6 separate regions of the Mus musculus genome follow, and regions 2, 3, 4, 5 and 6 are each reported to be linked to region 1. Evidence: microRNA targets listed by miRTarBase, many of them from high-throughput screens and not tested one by one. Region 1 holds a microRNA gene; each other region holds the end of a gene's coding sequence.
The links. Region 1 holds the annotated microRNA mmu-miR-495-3p (AAACAAACAUGGUGCACUUCUU, at 2,202-2,223, shown strand). A microRNA usually pairs through its seed, bases 2 to 8, with sites in the 3' UTR of a target mRNA and lowers its output. Matches are read on the target gene's strand: a 7mer-m8 pairs with bases 2 to 8, a 7mer-A1 pairs with bases 2 to 7 and ends in A, and an 8mer does both.

Region 2: the mRNA of Rhobtb1 is a reported target of mmu-miR-495-3p. Seed matches in the 3' UTR shown: 7mer-m8 at 1,949-1,955, 7mer-m8 at 1,953-1,959, 7mer-m8 at 1,957-1,963, 7mer-m8 at 1,961-1,967, 7mer-m8 at 1,965-1,971, 7mer-A1 at 2,206-2,212 and 2 more.
Region 3: the mRNA of Gsk3b is a reported target of mmu-miR-495-3p. Seed matches in the 3' UTR shown: 7mer-m8 at 1,354-1,360, 7mer-m8 at 2,225-2,231, 7mer-m8 at 3,964-3,970 and 7mer-m8 at 4,073-4,079.
Region 4: miRTarBase lists Prkag2 as a target of mmu-miR-495-3p. Seed matches in the 3' UTR shown: 7mer-m8 at 1,806-1,812.
Region 5: miRTarBase lists Cpeb3 as a target of mmu-miR-495-3p. Seed matches in the 3' UTR shown: 7mer-A1 at 2,134-2,140, 7mer-m8 at 2,208-2,214, 7mer-A1 at 2,409-2,415 and 7mer-m8 at 2,475-2,481.
Region 6: the mRNA of Slc8a1 is a reported target of mmu-miR-495-3p. Seed matches in the 3' UTR shown: 7mer-m8 at 3,798-3,804.

Annotation. Positions count from the first base shown.
Region 1 is chr12:109,716,594-109,720,682 of GRCm38, forward strand. It overlaps Mir495 (microRNA 495), which reads left to right and starts at 2,161; the gene lies at 2,161-2,223. Mir666 (microRNA 666) reads left to right here and starts at 492; the gene lies at 492-590. It overlaps Mir543 (microRNA 543), which reads left to right and starts at 665; the gene lies at 665-740. It overlaps Mir667 (microRNA 667), which reads left to right and starts at 3,413; the gene lies at 3,413-3,504.
Region 2 is chr10:69,289,224-69,293,312 of GRCm38, forward strand. It overlaps Rhobtb1 (Rho-related BTB domain containing 1), which reads left to right. Exons shown (of 11, transcript NM_001252637.1): 11 at 297-2,568. The coding sequence ends at 466. Among named protein-coding and RNA genes, the nearest start is that of Gm40685, 21 kb to the right of the region's middle.
Region 3 is chr16:38,239,903-38,243,991 of GRCm38, forward strand. Gsk3b (glycogen synthase kinase 3 beta) reads left to right here. Exons shown (of 11, transcript NM_019827.7): 11 at 600-4,089. The coding sequence ends at 667. Among named protein-coding and RNA genes, the nearest start is that of Nr1i2, 53 kb to the right of the region's middle.
Region 4 is chr5:24,860,536-24,864,624 of GRCm38, reverse strand. It overlaps Prkag2 (protein kinase, AMP-activated, gamma 2 non-catalytic subunit), which reads left to right. Exons shown (of 16, transcript NM_145401.2): 16 at 738-1,890. The coding sequence ends at 769. Among named protein-coding and RNA genes, the nearest start is that of Rheb, 20 kb to the right of the region's middle.
Region 5 is chr19:37,021,113-37,025,186 of GRCm38, reverse strand. It overlaps Cpeb3 (cytoplasmic polyadenylation element binding protein 3), which reads left to right. Exons shown (of 11, transcript NM_001290827.1): 11 at 100-3,896. The coding sequence ends at 327. Among named protein-coding and RNA genes, the nearest start is that of Btaf1, 97 kb to the right of the region's middle.
Region 6 is chr17:81,385,350-81,389,438 of GRCm38, reverse strand. It overlaps Slc8a1 (solute carrier family 8 (sodium/calcium exchanger), member 1), which reads left to right. Exons shown (of 11, transcript NM_011406.3): 11 at 372-4,089. The coding sequence ends at 748. Among named protein-coding and RNA genes, the nearest start is that of Gm33944, 100 kb to the right of the region's middle.

The sequences.
Region 1 (4,089 bases):
GGTGCCCTGTAGCCATGTCATGAGGGAGAGAACATGTGTACAAGCATAGGCAACCAACTATCTACCTGGAACACCTAAGAAGTCTATCTTTATTCATGTTCTTTTTTTTTTTTAATCTCAATGTTCCATTTCCCAGCAAGTGGAGGGTCAACAGAATCTGTTCTCAGAACACCACATGCCACTTACATATATTTTTGTCCAGGAGACATTGTCTCGTTCTGACAAAGGCTCAGATATCTTTTTGTTTCCCATTTCATGATAACCTCCTTGCATCAGGGCCTCCACCGTGGAACATAGGTTGATGTCCTCCCCTCTAGCAGATGGGTGGTGACCTCGACTGAGAGGTCACGGGACCCACCTCCTCTCTTGTCACGGATCCAGAGCTGGACTTTGGGAAGCAAAGTCAGGATTATTATATCATTCTCTGATGTTTGAGGAGACTCCAAAGACCTCCCCAAAGGATGACCAATCCAAAGCCTGTCTACAAGATCCTGATTCTGCCTGCGTGGAGCGGGCACAGCTGTGAGAGCCCCCTAGGTACAGCGGGGCTGCAGCGTGATCGCCTGCTCACGCACAGGAAGTGACGACAGCGGTACTCAAGCCACAGGAAGTGACGACAGCGGTACACAAGTGGTACACAGGGTTCCATGCTGCTGACGTACGGTGCTTAATGAGAAGTTGCCCGCGTGTTTTTCGCTTTATATGTGACGAAACATTCGCGGTGCACTTCTTTTTCAGCATCCTATTCTACGTTGAAGACTTCGGGGGTTCAACTACTTACTGACTTCAGGGAAGCCATGTTAGTCTAGGAAAGTAGTCTATGTAGTGAGCCTGGGTTGTGTGAGTTTATCTCCCTTCTTGAATGGTCCTCTGACCTTTCTTAATGAGAATGGGTTTGGGTTGGTTGGCTCCTGCTCCCTCCTCCCTCCTCCACAACACAGTGTCAAAGGAACCAGTTGACCAGACATTATTGATTCCTAGATGAGACCTTAGCCCACAGGGAGATGTTTGCTGAGACTTCTGGGAGGGGAATGAGTCTTCATTTCTGTGAGAGATGTCTGAGTGGATCTCACTGTTCCCTGAGTTTGAAGGCCAGCTAGAATTCAAGAGGACAGTACCCAGGGCTGTTTAGACAGAGGGGGAAGTGCCTGTCCCAGAGGAACCATGGGACATTTGAGTAACAGTACAATCTGGGACCTGCATCCGACACTCCTTGAAGCTCAACACGTCACTGTACCTTTAAGTTATATTAGCCTGGATGCCTCCTTTGTGTGTAAGTCAGCTTGAGGTGGGCCTTTCCTTACTATGAGAGGAATGGATGGCTCCTTGTTGAGTGGCCTGTCAATGAGTGTAACTGGCATTCTTTGGATGGTATGTTCTCTTGCTCATTATTCCCATTGTCCAGTCTAAGGTAGGTAGTTGGTACCAAGTCACTTTCCTTTGTGGTTCAGATATATTGCTGTAGTGTTGTAACCTTCCAGTAACGGTAACACACACTAATCAATGCGTTTTGTTTTCAGGGAAGGGTCGGTCATATGTCCCGTTCAGGACAGCCGCAAGATGATGAACGGACATTGCATCCCCAGACATCTCACACGCTCAGAATCCTGGAGCCTCCCATTTCAACCTGTTCTTCTGCTTCCCAGTACCCTGTGAGCTCTTTGTTGTATTTGTCTACATCGTAAGTCACTTCTGGGTGCGGGAGAGGGGGGACCTCAGAGGGCATCATCCAGGCACTCACACAGCTGGTTTAGGCTGCCCTGGATTTTGCCACCTAGTTCTTTGACTTTTTTTTTTTTTCTCAGCTTCAGAAGAGGATCCTGGAACTGAGAGAGGAGATTCTGTCTTGGAGTTTGGCACCATCCCATTTCCCCCGAGTGACACTTCAGAATGACTGGCAAGGATGGTAGGCAACATCTCAGAATCTTCAGTCTTCGTCCCAGGTCTTCCTGAGATCCTGAGGTAGAGGGGGTTTGGGCTGGATTGCTATGGCAGTGATGAGTACTGAGCCACTCCCCTTGCCTCAGGACCCCCATCCCTGTCCCCCTCCCGGCCAAGTATCTGCCTCACCCACCATCCCTTCCTTCCGCCTGTCCCTCAGCATCCCTTCACACTCAGGCACACTGCTGGAACAAGCAAGAGCTCAGCCGTGGTACCTGAAAAGAAGTTGCCCATGTTATTTTTCGCTTTTATTTGTGACGAAACAAACATGGTGCACTTCTTTTTCGATATCAAATCTCACCTTGGAGAGCTCCCCATGGACCAGAGGGAGGACGGGAGGCCAGGGGGTTTGGGTCACCATGTGCACAGGGGCATTTACCTCAAAGAAGCACAATTTCACCTGCCCCTCTTGGCTCTGTGCATTGTTAGGTCCAGAATGCCCACCTCCTGGGACAGGCACAGTCAGTAAGGGAAACCAGGAAGCGCACTTTTAGGCTCTGTTGTAGGATGGAGTTCAGATAAGAGAAGCCCAGAAAATTATAAAATCCAAACAATAGCAATTTAATCAAACAGCCAATACAAGCCAAACCACCAATTCCTTCTGGAGACATGTGTCTAGATGTCAGCTGCAGGTGTCTTTACCAAGATATGTCAGTTGGTGAGTGTCACATAACACTATGACTCTAGAAAAGCCTGGGCCCCAGATCAGCTCTTTACCAGCATCCTGCCATGTCTACGGGCTGTGCTCTTTGATGCCATTAGCAAGGCCTTGAGGACTGGTGGGTGCTGGCTACGATTGGGACCAGGGAACAGCAAGCTGTCATCAGCCACTGCTGCCTGTCTCTTATCTCTGATACTGGTACCCCTGCCCTCTGGAGTGGTAGATGTAAGGCGGCACTTCAGACCCCTTTTCCCTAGTGAACTTCTCTTTATGGCTAACATTCTCTGGTAGCCTCCTCATGGCATCAAAATTGCCTTTGAGTGTGGTTGTTTGAGCAGGGCCCTTTGGTGGCTCTCTTGTGAGAGTGGGAGGGAGGATACAATCCAGAGAGTATGAGAACACCTCATCCATCCATCTCCCCTGGAGGGTTTCCGAAGCTGAGCCAGTACAAGATATGGGATCACTCTTAGGCAACCCTTTGCTAGGATACTAGCTATTTCTTTCTTTGCTCAAGTTGGAATAAAAGCTTTGTTTATACTTACGTGGCTCAACAACCATAGCGCATCAAAACCCAGTGCAAACTCCATCTAAGAGGTACCAGGATTAGCCACACACTTAGCTCTTAGTTTCTACTGGCTCAGTGATGCCCTTGGGCTGTGGCTGTACCTGTGTTTTGGCTTCTGCCTATAAAAGATGGAAACACCTTTGGAAAAGCAGCAACTCTCCCTTTATACCCATGGAGAAAGGCTAAGGGGCATGGAACAAGCATGGTCAACCCATTTTCTTAGGTTGAAAATCCCTTTCCATCTAGTGGGTACTGGCCTCGGTGCTGGTGGAGCAGTGAGCACGCCATACATTATATCTGTGACACCTGCCACCCAGCCCAAGGCCCCTAGGCCCACAAACTTCTGGAGGGGAGTTTGTCTTGGATTCATCCAAGGAATGCAAAGGACACCTGGACAGAAATGCCTCTGGTGGTCATCCCAAGGTAACCGGACTTGTTCAGTTCCATTTCACATTTAGCTTTGTGCTTTATTGGCAGGCTTCTAAGGGCTGCTATTCACCCCTACATCCCAGGTACGTATAGGCCCAGAGGGAGCCTTCCATCTTTGAGGGTAGAATATTCTCTGGGCACAATACCTCACCAGCTGTCTTTTTCACAGGAGAAGCCTGGGCAGGATTGCCGCAGCTGTTCCAAGAGGCCCCAAGGGACAGTGTCCACATCATGGTGTTTGTTCGTGGAAGATATTAAACGCTGACCTCTTTTTGAGCACAAAATCCCTCCTTGAAGGGCTCTCTGTACCCGGTGTCAGGTTCAGGAACACGATGTGGGCATCAGCCCCTTGCTGATGGTATGTGAGCAGATGTCTGGCCAGATGGCAAGTGCTTTTGTTTATTTATTTTCTTATTTTGAGACTTGAGAGTTTATTGAATGAATCATCCTATAATCCAATTTCCCAAGGCAAATCTGTACATAAAAATCTAGT
Region 2 (4,089 bases), not on the chromosome of region 1:
TCTTACTTAGAGAAGAAGGGAGTGGAGTTGAGGGTACCCCACTGCAGAGCATGCCAACATAAGGCCTCCCCTCATTTAGGGGTACACAGCCAGGGTCTAACTCTGAATAAAAATCAAGTGGTTTTGGGTCTGTGTGCCTAGCATAGAGTCTACACATTAGACTTTAGTCTCAGCATCTGTGGGCAGCCATGCCAGCATGCTGGGAGGTTTACGAATGGCAAAAAGCAGGACTGAGCATCCAGGACAGTCTTCGGGCAGCAGGAATCACGGGCAGTCTCTTCCCCCTCTCCCCGCAGACAACCAGGAGTACTTTGAGCGGCACCGCTGGCCCCCTGTGTGGTACCTGAAGGAGGAAGACCACTACCAGCGTGTGAAGAGGGAACGAGAGAAAGAGGACCTGGCGCTGAACAAGCACCATTCAAGGAGAAAGTGGTGTTTCTGGCATTCGTCCCCAGCTGTCGCCTGAGGAGGAGAGAGGGGACCGTCACCCGCTAAGGGCCACCTCCACTGTTGACAGCTCTACTATAAAAACCAGTCTCCTTAGCCATCCGCACAGTTGGGTCTGGGGCCCTGGCTTTTCCACTCGTGTGCATTTACCTCCACCAGGATCAAAGCACAAGCCCTGCCACCAATGAGCAGGGACATAAAAGGAAAGCTGACTGACTCTGAAGTCCTTCAACCAGAATGTCCTTTTGGTTTTTTTCTTTCTTGGTTAGGAAGCTACTACACTTCAGTCCGTTACTTTGTTCCTTTTGATACAAAGAAAAAAAAACAAAATCCAGCTTTCGTGTCTCAGATTCCAGATTGGAGAATATTTTTCTATGGACTCTTGTATTTCACTGAGGTGACAATACTGTGTATTACTTTATTTTATAGGCCACACATTGACCACGAAGCTGCCCCCCCCCCCGTGACTCTTTCAGCCCACGTGACCACTGAGCATCACTCATAATTACAGAGTTATCCTTTCGTTGGGAGGTAAAGGGTTGAGCTGAAGAGGCCTGAAGTATTCAAGCTAGAAGCGCTTAATCTTTGCTCTGATGAGCCACGTTGGTATAATTATGTATTTACAGGATCTCCTTTTTAAGTGCTAGTAATTACATGGTTATCCGTGCCATATAGCTACAGTGAGGGCAAATATCCTACTGTTTAAGAGGTCTAGATTCAAAGAGGACAATCCTTACAATCATTACAAGGGCTTATTCCACCCCAATCCTATCAGGGGCATGACTGACTGCCGGACCCGGGTCCCTACAACGCCATTCGAGTCCTACCATTGGATAACTATGTCAGGGTTGGTGACTTAAAAGTGCTCTGTGGTTTTGCTGTGCCTTCACCAGCAAACCGTCCTAGGGCCTGAACAGAGATAAGGGAAAGGGAAAAGGCTCATCCCACTGTCTTCAGGTCAATCACCTCGGCCTCACACCTGAGGCCAACTTCACTTTGTAAGACAAGTTGTTGTTGTTGTTGTTGTTGTTGTTGTTGTTGTTCTTTTTGTTTTTTTAACTCTTCCCAGGGAAAATTCAGGTCACCACTAAAGTAGGCCAAGGCAGACCACCTGCTTCTCCACTCGGTCTCACCACAGAGCCTGTGAAAGCACAAAGCTAGGGGCCAGGTCCTGCCTTCTCCAAGCAGGGAAAGGAGCCAAATCCTAAGAGTGTGGGGAATGGTGCTATTATGTGGTAATTCTGACCCCGGGTCCCTTGGGAAGATCAGTGTTAGAACAGAACTTGCAAAGCAGGGGAGCTCTCAAGCGGCATCAACGTCATTGCCTCTCTGCAGATAAAATGTTACAGTATAATATACACGTGTGTGCACACACACACACACACACACACAATCATCAGAGAGTCACAGCTCCACACCTGCCACGGGATGTCGTGTGCTGGACACCGGGGCCCATTCTGTTGAGAGGTCACCTTACTGATGCTAAGGGCTATTGATTTTTGTTTGTTTGTTTGTTTGTTTGTTTTTGTTTGGGGGAGGGAGTTTCTGAAGACAGGAAAGAGTCAGTTGAGTCCAAATGCCATATGGATTTGAAAAGCTGTGTAGACCACAGGCAGGCGTTTTGTTTCTGGCATGGCCACATACCAGATACAAGAGCTTAGAAAGACCCAGGAAGGCATCACCCTCTTGTGGCAGAGAGGGAGCCGCAGGGGAAGGGGGGCGGGGAGGGGGACAGCTTATCAAGCCTTCCCCCTTAACTTTGTTAATAGGGCAAATGGCTGACGGAAAGAGAAGGTGGGTGGAAGGAAAGAGTACACGTCAAGACTTGAGGAGAAGGAACATATAGCCACCTAGAGGTTCTGTTTTCAGTGAGTAGGCCTAGTTGAACTTCAACAACCAAAGCTCCATCCGCTTGTACTCTTGCCAAAACACAACAGACACATACATGAACATGGGACGAAAGCAATAATATCCTCTCGTGTTCTTCACAGCTGCTGGAACCAAGTGGCTGGTTCATTTGGTTGACACTGATCCGCCTTTAACCACGATGGTTCGTTTTGTGTTTGTTTGTTTTTTTAATTTCACAGAAAGCAAATAAAATTGTTTAGCTATAAAAAAAAATGCCTCGACTTTTGTGTAAAATCCTCACATGTATTTTAATAGCATTTTGAAAGCTACCAGCCCCAAAGGTGTTGCACCCTTGGAGCCACCTGTTGAAACCAAATGGTGAATGACTGCCATTTGTGCTTAGCTATTTTCAGCAGAGATTCCCAACATGTAGATGGGGCATGTGCCCCTTGGCTCTTTCTTGAACAATACCATGGCTCACTTAGTCTTAAGGAATGGAGACCATGACATCTCCATTCTGTTGGAATGGTTGCAGTGGGAGGTTTGCAAATCCTCACACAATTAAATATAAAAGGTCTCTACTGGTAGGCCCATGAGGAAGTTCTTCAAATGCAAGTCTGAGAAAGACTCTGCAAGGCGCTATCTATAACAGCTAGATGTAAGGTTACCAGAGCTTCCATGGAAGCAAGGGCTTTCATGAGATCTTACGGAGGGGCTGAGTTCTTTGTAACTGCATGGGGAAAGAGTCGAACCTCGCTCAGACAAGCATAGGAGACAAGCAGTGAAATGCATCCAGCACCTCCCGTGCCAATACACAGCTCCACTCATGCGACTTTGCACGTAGGCACAGCAGTGCAGTCAGAACCTGCACACAGTTCTACTGTAAATTCTTCCTGGAAGCCTGAAACCCCTGCATGGGTCTTAGTACCTCTAGAGAAGCACCTTGGAGATTGGGGGGGGGGGGGCAGGGCACAGATCCTACTGGTTTAGAAGGAGCTGAAATACTCTTAGATGCCAGCAGTCAGCTTCAAAAGCTCAAAGATCCTAAAACTCCAAGTTCTCCAAATTCGGCTTTCTTGTCTCTTGACACTGGCTAAATTGTACCAGAGGGAAAGCAATCTGTCTCCCAAGTATGGGGATGTTGGTGCCATGTTTCTGAATGAATCCTTTGTAGCCCAAGACTCACAAGTCCTTCTCTTGAATTACTTCCTTAAGATGATAGATAGATAGATAGATAGATAGATAGATAGATAGATAGATAGATAGATAGGATAGGATAGGATAGATAGATAATAGATAGACAGACAGACACAATCAGATTCTGGTATGCAAGCAGCAGTAATATCTATCTCCGAAAGAATTTGACCATTGCCTAAAAGTTGTTGCCGAGGTGAAGGCTGGCCATAAAGAATACGTGTGTGCAGTGTGTGTGTGCATCTGTGAATGTAAGCAATCACAAAGCAACAAGAAGCAGAAGCAGCAGGCGCATAAACGGGTAGGAGCCATTAGCAAAAGGCATGGGGTTGGGTTAAGCACCTAGGCCATGGCTGTATGTACCTGTACTTTTAACTTTTACTGGATTCTTTTCCCTCTACCACCTTATGCCATCCCTACCCCTTCCAACCTCCCAACACCAGGTAGGAGAGAAAGAAGGTTAGACGGGAAAGGGGGTTTGATCTCTTTAGACCACTTCCTCCCGATTAGGGGCTTAGAGTTCCTTGGGGACAAGTCCAGTCTCAGTCGGCAAGATATCTCCAACCAGCAACCAACAACCCAGCAACCCAGCAAACCAAC
Region 3 (4,089 bases), not on the chromosome of region 1:
ATCTATAAGGAAGTAGAACTAAAAGCATTCCCCTGTTGACTGCCCCCTAGTGGGCTAAAGGAATGGAAGGGCAGATTATTTGAGGAACAGGAAAATGCAGAGTTCAGAGAGGAAGTGCAGTTTTTAGAAAGTGGTCGTGAAGTTGATAAACTGAACAGCTTACCCTTAAGTGGTAAGGTTCCTATGTGTTCTTGGCATCTGCTGTGTCTTCACTTGTCCAGGCCCTTAGCAGATGGCCTGTTGGAACACGGCTCAGGATCTTTAGCTAGTGTCATTTATTTTCAGTAAGCTAGACTCCAACCTGAGTACTGCCGGTCAGTACTAGCTATAGCAAAGCCTTGACAGAAGTGACCTCAAATTCCTGAGTCTGTGATGCATTAAGTGTACTGCCACACGCACATACACCACACACGCATGTGCACGCACACTTGTGCCATCACTGAGCTCCTAGCAGAAAGGAAGTCCTGGTGCTGTGTGTTTGAACCCACATAGGCAATGACAGCTCTGGTAGGCCTCAGCACTGTGCGGTGAGTGGTGTACTTGTGCTCTTTGCAGTGTTATAACGTTGCTCACGCTTTCTTGGGCCTTTGGATTTGCAGATACTAATGCTGGAGACCGTGGACAGACCAATAACGCCGCTTCTGCATCAGCTTCCAACTCCACCTGAACAGCCCCCAGGAGCCAGCTGCGCGGGAAAGACCAGCACTTACTTGAGTGCCACTCAGCAACACTGGTCACGTTTGGAAAGAAAATTAAAAAGAGGAAAACAAAAACAAAAACAAAAAAACCCTGTTCATTTTAGTGTTCAATTTTTTTTATTGTTGTTCTTATTTAACCTTGTAAAATATCTATATAAATACAAACCAGTTTCATTGTATTCTCACTTTTCAGGAGATCCAAGAGGTGGGGAGGGTTGGGCGGGGAGGAGCAGAGCATTAAACACAATCTCTCCCACGACAATCTTTTCTTTTCTTTTTAAAGTCAGAAGTCCGCTATTGTATACCTTAAAAACCAGACTCCTGCCTCACGCCCCCACCGCAACAGAAGAAAACCTGTTCTGTGCTGGTTTATTTTCTGGATTTGTTTTCTTTTAAAGCCTGGCGTAAGACTTTGATACAGTGCACAGCTTGAAATTGGTTGGGAGCTTAGCAGGTGTAACTCACCAGGGACTTACTGTCACTTGTACAATGTGTACTTATCCTTAGGATTTGAAGACTTGCCTTTGGCGTGTGATGTCAGGTATGACAGACAAAAAAAAAAAAGACAAAGAAAAACCAAGGTGTATTATTGGTAGCCCAGGGAGGTCACTAAAATCTGAAGCTCTAAGGGAAGATCAGAGATGGATTACTTAAGGTTTGTTTTGCTCTTGACCAGTGCAGGTGTTGCAGATGCCAGCTTAGGAAGGCTGCTGCCAAAGGAGAGAGCGCGACAGAGTCTGTTGGGCCCTGAGGTAGATCTTGGTTCACCTGACCAAAGGCCGCCTGCTTCTCCCGGTATTGTTTTGAGCTGGTACCCTAGGATGAGGCTGGAGATGGTGTTAAGGGGGCAGCTCTGGGTGCATCGGAAAGCGAAGAACAGGAAGGTGGCAGGCCAGGGGCAGATCTCACCACTGTGAGTGAGCTTGTCCAGATTTTAATAAAGTCGTTTCCCTTAGAAAAACACTTGAGAGAAGACATCATAGCTAAGTAATGTGAACTGTTAGCCAGCCTACTGCTTTGTTTTCCTTACTTTAATTGAAAACCAAGCTTGCAAGAATTGCCACATTCTTATGCATAGCTCTAATTTTAAATCCAAATCTAGACTCTGTATTTAATTTCTGCTTTTTTAACATCATGCTTTTTAAATTTATTTATTGATGCATGTCAGATCGGCCACTATGATTTTAAGTGGTAGTAATATTAAAAACCACACATCAAAATAATAAAGTCACTTGTATCTGCTGACTTTATAGGAAAACTGATTATATTAATGTGTATATATGTTTTATATATACATATATTCAATACTGCCTTTTCTTTTTGTCTACAGTATCAAAATTGACTGACTGAATCATGAAAAGAATGTTCCCCCACCATCACCATTAAGAGTTTTATTTTTGTTTTCTTTGTTTATCAATGAATGGTGTAAGAATCAGTCTCTTGTTTTTTGAAGAAAAAGCAATATTCCTTGGAAAGCAAGGTGGATTGAAGGATTACGTTTGTGTGAGGAACAGAACTCATAACTAGTTTGTTGATACTTTTAAGGTTGGTGTCTTTGTGGGCCTTATATACTCTAAAATGAACCTTGGTGCTTATGGGCCATTACTTGACCTATGAATCTTTAAGGCACAATCAGTTATCTTTTACATTTAAAGATCACTTGAGTAATGGCCACCGCTCCTTCCTTCCTTCCCACTCCCTCCCCACACATCTGCTAAGGTGAGCTGATGACTAGGGCTGTAGGGCCCTTGGTTATGTATGAGACACAGACTCCTTTACCCTCATTACCTGACCTTAAGTCACGTTGAGGTCTTGCCCTCCAGGTGGTTAGGAAGAGGAGTCTCTTGGCGGCCCTTATACAGGCCCTAGCACCCTGCCTTGCTTCTCCGACCGTGTGTGTAACTCTCCAAGAGAGTTGTATTGTCTGCCGAAATGAGTTGATGCTAGAAAGACATCAGTGAGGCTGTGCGGCTGGCTGATCTCTTCAGGCCACCGAAGGGGTTTCTCAGACCTCCGTTTAGATCAGACTTGACAAGAAAGGAAGCAAGCCCAAAGCAAACAAAGGCGCTTTTGGTAAAGCGCTTCTCAGATAATTGCCGTGCGAAAGACTTCTGAAATTAAGTTATTTGACCGCATAGTTCCTTGAAGGGGGTGACTTGGAAGACCATTTTCAGAAAGAATTTGTAAAGAATCTGAGCAAGCAGGTCTGTGGCCTGAGAAGGGAACCTGCTTTCAGATTAAACTGCCCAGCCCGACACAGACAGTACTCCAGACTTGGTGTGCGTGCTAGAGTCCATAAAAGTCAGTGCTTGTTAGTGAATACTCCCCACCCCCAGATACGGGGTAAGAGAAGAGTGGAGGAAAGTCAGGTGCTTTTCTCTGTGTGTGTGTGTGTGCGCGCGCGCGCGCGTGTGTGTGTGTGTGTGTGTGTGTGTGTGTGTGTGCGCGTGTGCGTGTGTGCGCACATGTGTGCGTCCGTGTGTGTGTGAGTGTGTGCCTGTGTGTGTGCGCGCGCGCGTGTGTGTGTGTGTGTATGTGTGTGTGTATGTATGTGGGCATGCATGCATATATGAGGGCTTAGGTGCACGATTTTTCTTTCTCAAGGATCATGGCAGGATCCCAGAACTCTTATCCAAGTGAGATCCAGGTCTCTGAATATCTTTTTGTAAATAATAATTAAAAGCTCCTCACCAAATTCAAGCTTGTATATTATATTTTCTTTCAATGTTTTTAAATTTAAGTTTTATTGTTTTGTATGTAAATATGTGGACCCAGGAACTGTTATTAATGAGCAAAAAGTTACTGTTCAGGGCAGTGATTCTGTTCAATAACCAGACAAAAATGTAGACGAGCTTTTTAAAGCCATATAGTTTTAACTCTGTACAGTAGGTACCGGCCTGTATTATTGTAACAATAACTCTAGCAATGTATAGTGTATCTATATAGTTTGGAGTGCCTTCGCTTCCATGTTTTTGGGTTTTTTTGTTTTGTTTTTGTTTTCTGACTTCCTTTATCCATGTGTCCCTGTGGCCCCCTTTCCCTCTGAGTAACAGCAGAACAGCACCTTTGCCCACTCCACAGTTTGAATGGGGAGAGGAAACCATGTTGGCAGTCTCACTTCATTCTAGCCTTGCCTTTGTTTTTGGTTCTGGGTGTGTCTGTGTCCTCAGTAACAGTGACCGGTTTCATTGCGGATGCACTCAGTCCGTCCGGGACTTGGTGGAGCGCTGGGGGCCCCAGAGCTGAAGGGTGTCAGATGGCATGGGTTTGTTCATCGCCTCTCCAAGCCCTGGAGTGGATCCTAAGCAGATTCTGGGAGCTCCCGAGCTTGCTCTCTCCTTACCTACTTCCCTCCCAAATGAGAGAAAGATTGGGTTTGTTTTATTTTTAA
Region 4 (4,089 bases), not on the chromosome of region 1:
ATTATGAGAGATAAGTCCAGCCTCCACTCACACCGTTATCCCCAGCACTCGGGAGGCAGGGGCAGGCAGATCTCTGTGAGTTCAAGACCAGCCTGGTTGATAGAGAAAGTTGTAGGACAGCCCTCTGCTCTAGTACGTTATTAATCTCTTTCCAAGTTAAGTGTAGCCTGACACAGTATGCCCTCAGAAGGTAGAGAGGCCAGGAGCTGGAGAGATGACTCAGAGGTCAAGAGCACTTGCCTGCTCTTCCAGAGGACTCAGGTTTGATTCCTGGCCCCCGTGGGCATTACGCATACATGGTATAGCGATTCATGTAGGCAAAGCACCCATACACATGAAATTGTTTTTAAAAAGGTTCATTCAGGTGAGAGCTGGAGAGGTGCCGTGGGTAGTGCAGTGGCTTTGCCTGCGTCTCCTATGGAAACCCAGCGGCTGCACACGGTTGTCTTTAGATGTGTTGTAATGCTTTGTTTTTTTAAAAAAGTAATAATCTTCTGAGTGTGGCAGCTGGAAGAACCCTGCCTGCTTATTTTTACTTTTTTAGCAGTGGAATCGACACTTAGAATGGGAAGGTGTGATAAGGGAGCCGAGGTGATGGTGGGAGGGGTGGGGCTCTGTGACCACTTAACTCCTCCTACCTCTCTCTGTCTGGAAGCCACTGCCAGGCTGGGTGCAGGGATCCTGGCCTCGGCCTCGAGCACAAGCTCTGAGACTCCCACTTTCCATCTCCCTGGCAGGTGCCAAACAGAAGGAGACAGAGACTGAATGACCGCCGTGAATGTAGACGCCCGCGCAGGAGAACTTGAACAAAGTCTCGGGGTCACGGTTTGCCTCATGAACACTGGCTGCAATAGAAGAGAGTAAAATGGCTAAGAATGTATACCAGGGTTTAGCGATGGGTATTTTTCCAGTGATTTGTAAGTATAGGAAAAGATTTTATGTGCTTGAAGATTCAGGCTTGCGTTCAAAGACTGCCCTCAGACCTGTCTGAAGGATTTTCAATGCTGTATGTCATTAAAGTGCACTGTGTCCTGAAATAGTACTACTTTTCATTTCAAAGAAGTCACTGGGATGGAACAGGTGACAGAAAGTGAGTGAACGGCACGTCCAGATCACGGTGCCTTATGTCCAAACGCAATATGTCACCGCCGCTGCCGCACGCCCCAAAGTGCTGCTGAAGAGACACCCAGCCCAAGTGTGAGCATCTTCAGACCTTTTACCCAGTCTCTTCCTTTTCACTTAATTGGTTGAAAAGTTTTAATTTGAGTACAGGCAACTGAAAATGTGATGTGATGCCTCTAAGCGCTCTGCATCCGTCCTGTTCTGGCTGCCGTGTTAGCGAGGCCGGCTTGGCAACAGCGCTTTATTTATTTTTACTCTCATGCAGGTTTCAACCTACATCCTTTGGTGAGTAGACGTCACCATACCTACGAATAAAACCTTGATTGTTCTCTCAAGTGGAAAATCTCTGGAGATTTTAGTTTGGATCTGGAAAGGCTATGCCTTCCAAACAGCCACTGTAGGGTCTTCTAAACGTTTATGAAAACAGGCTGTGGTCGCAGGGAAGAAGTAACGGAAGACGTCTTTTTTTTTATTGTGTGTTGAAATGTAAACTCATGATGTTTGTGTGACCGCTGACAAGACGCTTGTAACTTTTATTGTGACACATAAAACAGTATTGTCATGCAGTTGAAGGGAAACTCTTTCCCCTCCCACACCCCACAACCCCCACAGCCCCCAGTGTCAGTGCTCTGAAAATGTTGACACTATATATCTGTGTGTGTATATATGAGCAGAGTTTGGGGGTTTGTTTTGGGGTTTTGTTTCGTTTTGTTTTTCAGATTGAAAATTAAAATAAATCCTGTCTACCAGTTTGCTAAAGTTTTTATGTATATGAGTACTGTTGCTCTCTTCAGACACACCAGAAGAGGACATCGGATACCATTACAGATGGTTGTGAGCCACCATGTGGTTGCTGGGACTCGAACTCAGGACCTCTGAAAGAGCGGTCGGTGCTCTTAACTGCTGAGTGGTCTCTCCAGCCCAAAATAAATCTGTTTTAAAAAGAGACCCATCACGTGAGCTGGGGGCAGCAGCACACTCCTGCCAGTGCAGCAGGTAAAGACGGAGACCTTCCCAGTTTCAGGGCTGCCCGCAACCTGCATTCAATCCAAGGCCAGCCCAGGCTGCAGAACAAGGCCCGGTCAACAAGAATCATCATAGAAGCTGGTGGGGGTGGATTTCTTTTTAATCTGTGTATATGCTAAAGTATCAATTTATTTCCTAGTTGGGCAAATAACTGAACACATGCATACCTACCCCACCCTCCTTGGAAACAGCAGTGGCTTAGGTTGATGCTCAAACCTACAGAATACAACCCTGCAGTATGCTTACCTAGTTTACTCATTTGATGTCTGCCTCTGGGCATGGGCATCTGAAAGACAACCCCCCACCCCACCCCCGCTTGCCCCACATCACTTTTCTGATGTAGTTTCACAGGGAAGACAATACTCCACATTTGTCCCTACTTGCCACTGTCACAAATTCACCTGATCCTTTCCAGTAAGAAAGCACCAAGCCCAGCCAACTGTCACCCCCATCTCATCCTGTATGCCAAGACTCTCTCCCCCTACCCCAGGGGAGTCAGTCCACATAGTCATCCAGCCAGAGGCAGAGCCTCTCATGCCCAGTACATCTGCTCTGGAATAGCATGCGAGTGAACATGAGTCCTGGAATAAACACTCAGGAACATGCACACACGTCTAGCTCCTAGGTGGTTTGCTGTGAGTTTTCTGATTCCTCTGACACTGCCAGGCTACACTGCCACCTGTGACGTTAGCATGGTATCTTCTAGGCCCAGCCCTGGGCTCTGCCTGTCAACCGACAGCTGGCCACACAGGACCAGTGGCTACTTCATGAGAGCCGCTCCTCTCCCTCCCTGCTGTCTCTGGTGCTGTGGCCCTCACTCAGGGGCTTTCTGTACTTGACAGTTTTGATTAGCAATCACCCCAAGAGCTGCTCCTAAAATAGTATATGACAAGAGTTTCTAGAGGTACTGCAGCCAGCAGAGCAGGGTAAGGGAGTGATGCCTTCCTGGCCTCAGACCTCCGCCAGCTCCACGAGTCTCACCGGGAGGACACTTTTTCTCGTCTATTGATTGAGACAGGCTTTTGGGTAGCCCGGGTTGACCTCAAACTCATATAGCCCAAGATAACCAAACTCCTGATCCTCCTCTCTTAACACCTAAGTGCTGGGATAAGAGGTGCGTGCCACAGCACCCAGTTCACGTGGTGCTGGGGACTGGACCCAGAGCTTGCTCTGCATATGCCAGGTGAGCAGTCTTCGGCACATGCCAGCCCCTCTTGTGTTGGTTTTTGTTGTTGTTGTTTTTTCAGTGAAGGAGCCAAGCCCAGGCTTCACACATTGGGCAACCCTCCTACCACCAAGCTACACCCCACCTCTGCCTGAAGTAGTCCTTGCATGCCATCTTTATGTACAGCATGTTAATGGTGTAGCTGAGTCCATGCCATCCTGTCCTTTTAAATGACTGTAGTGGGTTGAACTGTCTCCCACAAAGAATCTCTAATATCCTCGTGCCTGGCTTACCTGACAACACTGGCCTGATTTAGAAACTGGGTCTTTGTGGAAGGATCAAGTTAAGATGAGGTCATGTGGGTGGCACTGGTCCAGTGGGACTGAATAAGAGGGAAATCTGGACACCGACACGCAGGGAGAAAGCCACGTGATGATGGCGACAGAGAACAGTGAAGCAGCCAATGTGCCAAGGGAAGTCACAGATCCTTGGCAGTGCCAGAAGCTTGGAAGACAGAATGCACACGCACACACACACACCACCGCCAAGAGCCTGCAGCCTCTAGAGTGAGAATGCTGTGCTGCTGGAAGTCACCCAGCTTGTGCTACAGCTACAGTAACCCACGAAGCTGACACATACATCTCCCCCGCAGCCTATTAGCTGCTTTTCTGCAGCACAAAGTTGACAAACATGCTCACTCTCCCTCCTTCCTTCCTTCCTTCCTTCCTTCCTTCCTTCCTTCCTTCCTTTTTTCCTTCCTTCCTTCCTTCCTTTTC
Region 5 (4,074 bases), not on the chromosome of region 1:
GGGGTTGTGCGCTTTACAAGTGAGATAGCCAGTCGAGCCCACGCAGCTTCAGATGGAAGCCCTGCTGACCCGTTTCCTGTCTCTCCTCTTTGGGTCCAGGTGGAAGTGAAGCCGTACGTGCTGGATGATCAGATGTGTGACGAGTGTCAGGGCACACGCTGCGGGGGGAAGTTTGCCCCATTCTTCTGTGCCAACGTCACCTGTCTGCAGTACTACTGTGAATACTGCTGGGCCAGCATCCACTCCCGAGCCGGCCGTGAGTTCCACAAACCGCTGGTGAAGGAGGGAGGCGACCGCCCCCGGCACGTCCCGTTCCGCTGGAGCTGAGCCCCAGGCCGCCACAGCTACAAGTACTGGAGTAGATCACAAGGAGGAAGAGAGGGCACTGCCTCAGGGCTCACGGTGTTCTGGAAATCTGTGCATTCGTTCTCGATTTTTAAAGAAGAAATGGGTCTTTTTATTATTATTATTATCATTTACAGTCATATTACTGAACTCAACGTCCAGTATAATGCAGAATCACAGAGTGTGTAACGGTACCCATTTGCACCTTTGACTCACACCTTGTCTGCTTGGTACCTTGATTTCTTATACCTGACCTGTCTGTCACCTCCACAGTTCCGTAGACTGCCATTCTCATCCGCAGCCGTCAGGTTGACGTCTGTGACTCTGTGTTTGATGTCGTGTTGTCGTTGCTCTGATTGGTCTTGACTGGAGCACGCTTATTTTCAGAGACTTAGAGAGTCACCCCTAGGACAAGACTTACCAAAGGCCACACATGTACGTAGAGGCCGACGTAGCAAACACTTTACAATCAGCACTCAATAGTGGGGTCACGTAGAGTAAGGTTAGCCCTTAATGAAAATAAGCCTGTAGTTGCTCTGTACTTTGACGTGTATGGATACCTCACAAGCTGGGTCTTTCATTTTCCTTCATGTTTGATTTTTTGTTTTGCTGAGGATTTGGGTTAGATCTTTTAGTGTTATGTAAATTTATGCTGCAATAGCTTTTGCTGCTATTAAAATGGTATTGTTGATACCATAATACTCTATTCAGGATAAGGTATCAATTAAAAACAAAAAACAAGAACCCAACAACACACTTTTGTGGTTTAGGGATAGAGCCAGCTGCCGGAGGGAGATCATATGAGACCAGAGAGAGCCATCGGAGGCCGCCGTTCCTGACTGCATGTTTACTTAATGCGGTTGCTGCATGCAATAAATTTTATATCCAATGTCTAGTATAAAACCTTCCCACAGTGCACAAATTAAGAATCTATATAAGCTATAAAATACTCATTTTTTTAAAAAGAATTTCTTTTTCACTCAAAGACTTGGTAATCTGTGGGAGGAAGGCATGCCTCAGTGGGTGGACTGCCCGTGGACAGCGAGAGCCTGTAACAGGGCGACCAGTATTACAACCAATAGACAACCTAGTGTAGGATGCTCTTCCAGTAACCCTGGGGGGGGGGGGGGGATGAAGTACTGCGGTGCTCTGTTACATATTGTGCAATTTATTTTATATAGTAAAGTGATTATGTCTAACTGTGATCAAACGTAACTGTTTGAAGCCGTGTCAGCCGTGGATGAGCGTGACCATTCATAACTGGTGTATTAACACACGAGCTCCGAGTTAGGACCTCTCCTGGTGCTTGCACCACTTCACCCAGCTTCAGACCTTGTCCAGACAGCCAAAGAGCTCAGCTTACAAACACTAAGAACACACACAGTGTCTAGAATAAGTCGGCAGACTGACACGGAGGCACATAGCTAAGGAGGCCACGTAAGGGTGATGCTAAAGAAATGTCTGCACCAAGCGAGCCAGCCTGGGCAGAGGGGCCTTCTGTGAGACGGTCACTGCTTAGTTCCCTGGATGCATCCTGTATAGCTTGACTAGAGTGAAGCCCTGCTCGTGCTAGCGCGGACCTTTTAGTGTTCACTCCTGGGCTGCAGAGAGTAACGGAGACACGTGGTGATTGCAAGACTCTGTAACGCTTGCTTTTTAAACCCTTCTTCCTTTGTTTTGCATTCTGGGGACAATCTGACTGGATGTGGCACTGCAGAGTAGACAGAAGTCAATGTGTCTTTTGTGCTGTGATGTCCTTGTTCTGTCTTGAAGTTACTGTTGTGTGGTTTTGTTATAGTTGGTTCTTTTTTTTCTCTTTTTCTCTCCAGTGTTTAATTGTGAATACTGGCTCTCCAGCTACAGTTTGTTTTCAAAAAAAAAAAAATGGAGAAACAGAATAGTTTTTTACTGAATTAAAAGATGCCTATTAGACCCCTCCCCCTTTCGGGTTTCCCCTGGACCCTTTGGTAATACTGCTTTCCTGCAGCCCAGATGTGCTTTGCTTTGCTTTGGTTCCTTTTTCTATGTTTGTGTTTTACTTTGTTTTCATCTGTATGGGAAATTTTGTTACGCACTACTACTTTTTATATTCTAGAACGTTTTCAAAAGTTGGCTGATGATTTTCGCTTGTTTGTTTCTAAGGAAAAAGGCATGCTTTCTGACTGACATGATCTTTTGCAATACCTCAATTTTGAAATATAGGAAAGAAAATGATATTTTCTAAGTAAGTTTATTCAGAAAATATATATTAATTTAATTCTGCAAGAAAATGATTTAACAGATGGGTAACTTTATTTTTTTCATGCTTATTTGTGTTTTTTGAAAATGAAGAAGTTAGAGCTTTATAACTATAATATTAAAGATCATATCTAACCTACAGAAATCTACCTAATTATGTGAAACATGCAAATGTTTGGAAGAAGCACCCCTCTTTCATGTACTAAAATAACCCTGAGCTCTAGAGGAGCCAGAAGACTGCGCAGTGTAAGCTAGCGCGAAGGCCACAGTGTCGCAGAGACCAGGTTGTCAGAGACTCCACTTGGTGCTGAGGGCTGTGACTGAGGAAACTGCTTTCCCTTAATTTGTATATTTATAATCAAGTGTTGATCGTGTGACTGGCCAGGACTGTGAAAGAGCTCTTCTGTTTGTATTTTTTTAAAGAGAACTTTTTTAGTTTATTAAATTATAACATGTTCCCTTTTGTTTTGTAAATAAATGTGCCCCCCCCCCAAGTTCTTAATGTTATATTAAAAGAGAGGGTCCTTCAAAAAAATTATTTTTTAAAAAAAACACAGAGGTGTTCTGCCCTGCAACTTGACTGGGAAGCCCCTGGGTAACACAGGTCCTGCTGTGGCCTTTCCTTGATGGGACACTTGAACTAGTGGATTTTTTGAAGGCTGTAACTAACCTCGACTCTTTGTTGTTATGTGCAATACTGTTTGTACTGTTTGTATAAAAAATAGAAAAAAAAGACAAGAAAAAAGGCCTAAACCTTTATTGCAGACTTATTTTCATTGCAGACTTTAGACATTGTGACTCACAGAACTCATTTTCTACTGTCAAATATGTACCTTTCCCTCATGCTGGTATTTTTTCAATAGTAACGTAGCCTTTGTACTGAGACAAATTTTCATTGTTATTTTTAGAAAGATTTTTTGCTAAGAAAAAAAATTAAACATATTTACATATTTTTCATTTTATTTCGTATTTTCTTTAAGGAGTGCTTTCTCAATCATTACTAGAGTTGTTTCTGGGAGGGACTTTCATATCTGGTCAACGTCATAATATTATTTTGTATTTTTACTTGGAATAAATTAATTTTATGATGCTAATTCTTTAAAGGTTTATTTTTTTCATTTCAGTTATTTTTGAAGCTAAAAACCTTTGTAATATTGTTACTAAAGTGTCTAGTTTTTTGAAATGCAAAGCTTTATGTATTAACTTGCCGATGTGGTTTACAATATGACAAGGGTGGAAACGGTTGGTTCTGTAACGTGACTGGGACTGTAACGGACAATTGGATAATAAAACGACAGAATGAGCAGAACGTGCGAGATCTCAACAAGCCTTTTCCTTTATTACAGTGTTCAGTGTAAGACTAGGGATGTCACAGTACAGGTCTCTAAGGATGTCACAGTGGGTTTATACAACACCAGATGCAGCCAAGCAGCCAAATCCGTGGCCAGATAACGAAGTCACCCCTCCTGAAATAGCATTGGGTGTGAAGCC
Region 6 (4,089 bases), not on the chromosome of region 1:
CAAGAACAGCTGGATAGAGTCTTGTAATAGTCAGTCTTTTGAAAGTCCCCACTGGATATAGCTATAACTTGGGCTGTAAATAGTCTTGAAAAGGAAAACCTGCCATGCAAGCCCAGTAGACAAAAAGCTATAGTATCTGTGGATAAAAAAAACTTAGCTTACATGACTTTCTCCGTCAGTGATGCAGGCAGCACTAAGCCCTGAGCTCCTGAGATCTGTGTTCTGTTCCTTTGACCATAAGACTGACTCAAAAGAGACAGAGAAGTCTACTGTGGGCTTGAGTCTAGTGTACACAATAGAAGCTCCTTGTACCTCATGACTCTATTTTGAAAGGTTAACTCAGTGTCATGGTCTGTTTCTTCTCTCTGCAGACACATTTGCCAGCAAAGTAGCAGCTACCCAGGACCAGTATGCAGATGCGTCTATAGGCAATGTCACTGGAAGCAATGCTGTGAATGTCTTCCTGGGAATCGGCGTGGCCTGGTCCATTGCTGCCATCTACCATGCGGCCAACGGGGAACAGTTCAAAGTGTCCCCCGGCACGCTAGCTTTCTCTGTCACTCTCTTCACTATTTTTGCTTTCATCAACGTGGGGGTGCTGCTGTATCGGCGGAGGCCAGAAATAGGAGGTGAGCTGGGAGGGCCCCGGACTGCCAAGCTCCTCACATCTTCCCTGTTTGTGCTCCTGTGGCTCTTGTACATTTTCTTCTCCTCCCTGGAAGCCTACTGCCACATAAAGGGCTTCTAAAGGAACAATCAGATATAGTAAATTTATATATATATATGTATACATATATATATACATAAAAATTATGTATAATGAACAGAGGAAACTGACATTTGTCATGTTCACTTAAACTGCTGATGGAATCCAGCTTCAAGAACATCCGTACTAGGCCGGAAGTCAGAAACCATCATCTCCCATTCCCGGGCATCATCAAGTTGAACAAGGCATGGAGGCAGGGTCATCTTGCAGCTCGTCCTAGAAGAGCTATACTCTCTCCGAGTTCTTAAATGGTTAAGGCTTCTATTTGTTTTCTTGTTTTATTTTGTTTTGTTTTGTTTTGTTTTGTTTCCAGTGGTGGGGGGAGAGGGAGGGATGTGGGTGGCTGATGTTTGGCTTTCGGTTTTGGTTTTGGTTTTGCTTTGTTTTGTTTGGAGGGCCAAGATCTTCTCCTTATAGAAAGTAGTGATCCACCCAAAGGGGAGTGGATTTTGGATGAATATTAGAATCATTAAGATTCGCTCCTCACCTCCTCCGAACACTTTAAACATTACTTGGATTAAGGAAGGAGCTGGGCGTGGAAGAAGAAAAAAACCACATCTTCACTACATTACCAAATTGTATGCTTATCTCCGGAATGTGAACAGTGGTGAACTGCCTCCAGAGAGAAGCATGGGAGCTGAAAAGGAGCCAGGAAAAGCAATGGTTCTAGACATAGTTTAAGGATACGGTGTCTGGCACTCTTGTTCAACAGGTACAGGGATAATGTGCCTAGATTCCCAGGAACTCATAGAACCCTTCATCCCTTATTTCTAGCTCTGAACTGTGATTAGCAAGACCCTTACTCCTTCCAGCCCAGCCTGTTCCCCGGGTTTTCCATCCCAGACCTCCTCCTGCCCTCCACCCAGCCCCTGCAAGGAGGAAAATTAACCCCACCCCCAAAGCCCTACCATTTCAGTCATCACGTGTGTCCAGGTCCCATGTTGCTCTTGCCTGGGATTTTCCATCCGTTTTATTTTCAGTGGCATCCATGGCTTGCACAATCCTGTTCCAGTCATGACTGAACATTTGCCCCTCCTTCATGTGCCTGTTAGGGACTGTTGTCGTGATCCCCATTACACAGTGCATGGACGAAAAACAAATAAAACAAAGCGTATCTGTATATAGTAGAGTATAGCAAATACTGTCCTCCCATTCAGCGATGTTGATTGGACATTGAAGACATAAGTGAGTTTTCTTTTCACCTGAGTTGTTCCTTTTGAGTTGTGATTGAGTTTGGATATTAATAGGGATAAAAGAAGAAAATGGCTTATTGTTCATGAATCTTGCACGCTCATTACTAAGAAGCAATAATTGTCGTGTGAAAAGATATTAAAGTTGAGAGGATAGCAGGCAAACTACAAAGATGTCTATGAAATAATAGCCATGTAGAGCACATCAGAGGTCTCTAAGAATCACCCATTAATTCAGGTAGACTGAGAAGAAAGGCTGGGAGACCAGTGGATACTTTGGATGTGCCTGGATTTTTACAGCCACCATTTCCACACCACCCCTCCCCCAACATATTTATTGCACATCTGCTCTGTCTGGCACAGATGATAGATAGTGCTAGTTGATTTTATTAATGGAGAAGGCTGTTTTGAGCCCTGTTTTGTTCACCTTTCAGTTCAGATAGCAACTCCTGAGTGGAAGTCTGAGTGACCAGTGGGACTTTAGAGGTCCACTGGGTATGACTAAGAGGACGTTACTCAAAGAGACTGGGAGTAACCATTGCAAGGAATGACTCTTTCCATTCAAAATACCAAAGAGCAGAGATAAACCCAACATTCCAAAAGCTGTGATTCTACTGATGGGAAATGGGACGGCTTGGCCCATCTCTCAGACACTTCTCTGAGCCTTTCTGGCCCTCTGCGTTGACTCCAGATACTTAAGAGATAAATGTAGCTGAGAACTCCTTTCCCTCCTTCCACTCAGTGATCATAACCATTCATTGTTTAACCAACATGTAGTGACTGAGTGAATAGAAACTTGTTGCCCGTTCAGTAGGCCAGGTAATACTACAACCTGGGAGCAGAACAGTGACCAAGACAGCCCAAATTCCTGCTCCCAAGGGGAATGTAGTGAGTGGGATTCCTCCTCAGAGAGTGAGAGTTGACACTGAGACAGTTTTGATCTTGGAAGAGAAAAGGAATTATGACTTTTAACCTAGGCACATTAAAATTGCACAACAAAGGCAGTTGACCAAATGCTCATGTTTTGTTTTTCCTAAAAGAATGTAATTTTTAGCTCTGGAAAAGTACTCTTTATAGCCTTGGCCAACTCGCAGGTATTTTTATCTTCCTAATTTAGGCCAAGCAGGACACTATGGTGGTGACCAATATCACTGAGAAGAGCTAATTAGCCGGTGTTTAGTCTCTGTGGCAATGGTACCTTTCCATCACAACACTCCACAGGCCACCAACAGTGGTGACAGTGGGGACTCCTCAGGGGAGCCCTCTAAGCCATCCTGTTTTGATTTTTTTTTTAATCTTAATTTTAGATTTTAAAAGTGGAAAGCTAGCCTAGACATACCCAGTAAATCTAGTCAAAGGATATATGTGGTTAAAAACCTTAGAAAGATTTTGCACTGGTTTTTGTTTAGTTCTGTTTTTTTGTTTTGTTTTTAAGCCATCTTCGGAATGTCAATAATTCTGTAGTGAATTTCACAGAGAACTTCCCAAGAACGTCTTGCTGTTGGTCAGTTTCAAGTTCAAGCTTTTTGGTGTGTTTGCCTTTTCAGTCTTCATGCTGTAGGGAAAATCTGATCTGGATCTTCAGGGTTCTTAATTATTATGTGTAAATGATTTCATTTGATTTGTTTGATTATTTTTATTTTGTGTGTATTGTGCACGGCTTTAGGGGGACAGGCACACTCGGTGCTGTTCCTGACAATTGGTACACATTATTGACACAGAAAACAAAAACAAAAATCAATAAAGTTTCTAACTGTTTGTGATTTCATCACCAGTGGCACAGCATGTTCTGTACTGTGGAATGTCCCCTCTCCTCACTGTCACCTACTTCATTTTCAGTTGTTTGTTTTCATGCTCTGAAGAAATAAAGACCAAAAAGGTATCCTTGTGCAATCTATATCCTTATCCATGGGAAAGGAGACAGCCACAATCCAAACCCATACACATGTCAGCCCTTAGCTCATGCTGTGCTTAAATGGCCCACGAGCAGCACGTGGAGTCGGAATGTTTGTCTGTTGTGTGATGCTGTGATAAGCATTGGGTGTACCTTCTTTTCACCATTTTTCCACCTTTTAATTTAACTCTATCTTCTTGCTTCCTGAACCCAAGCACATGAACTCACAGGCTATTACT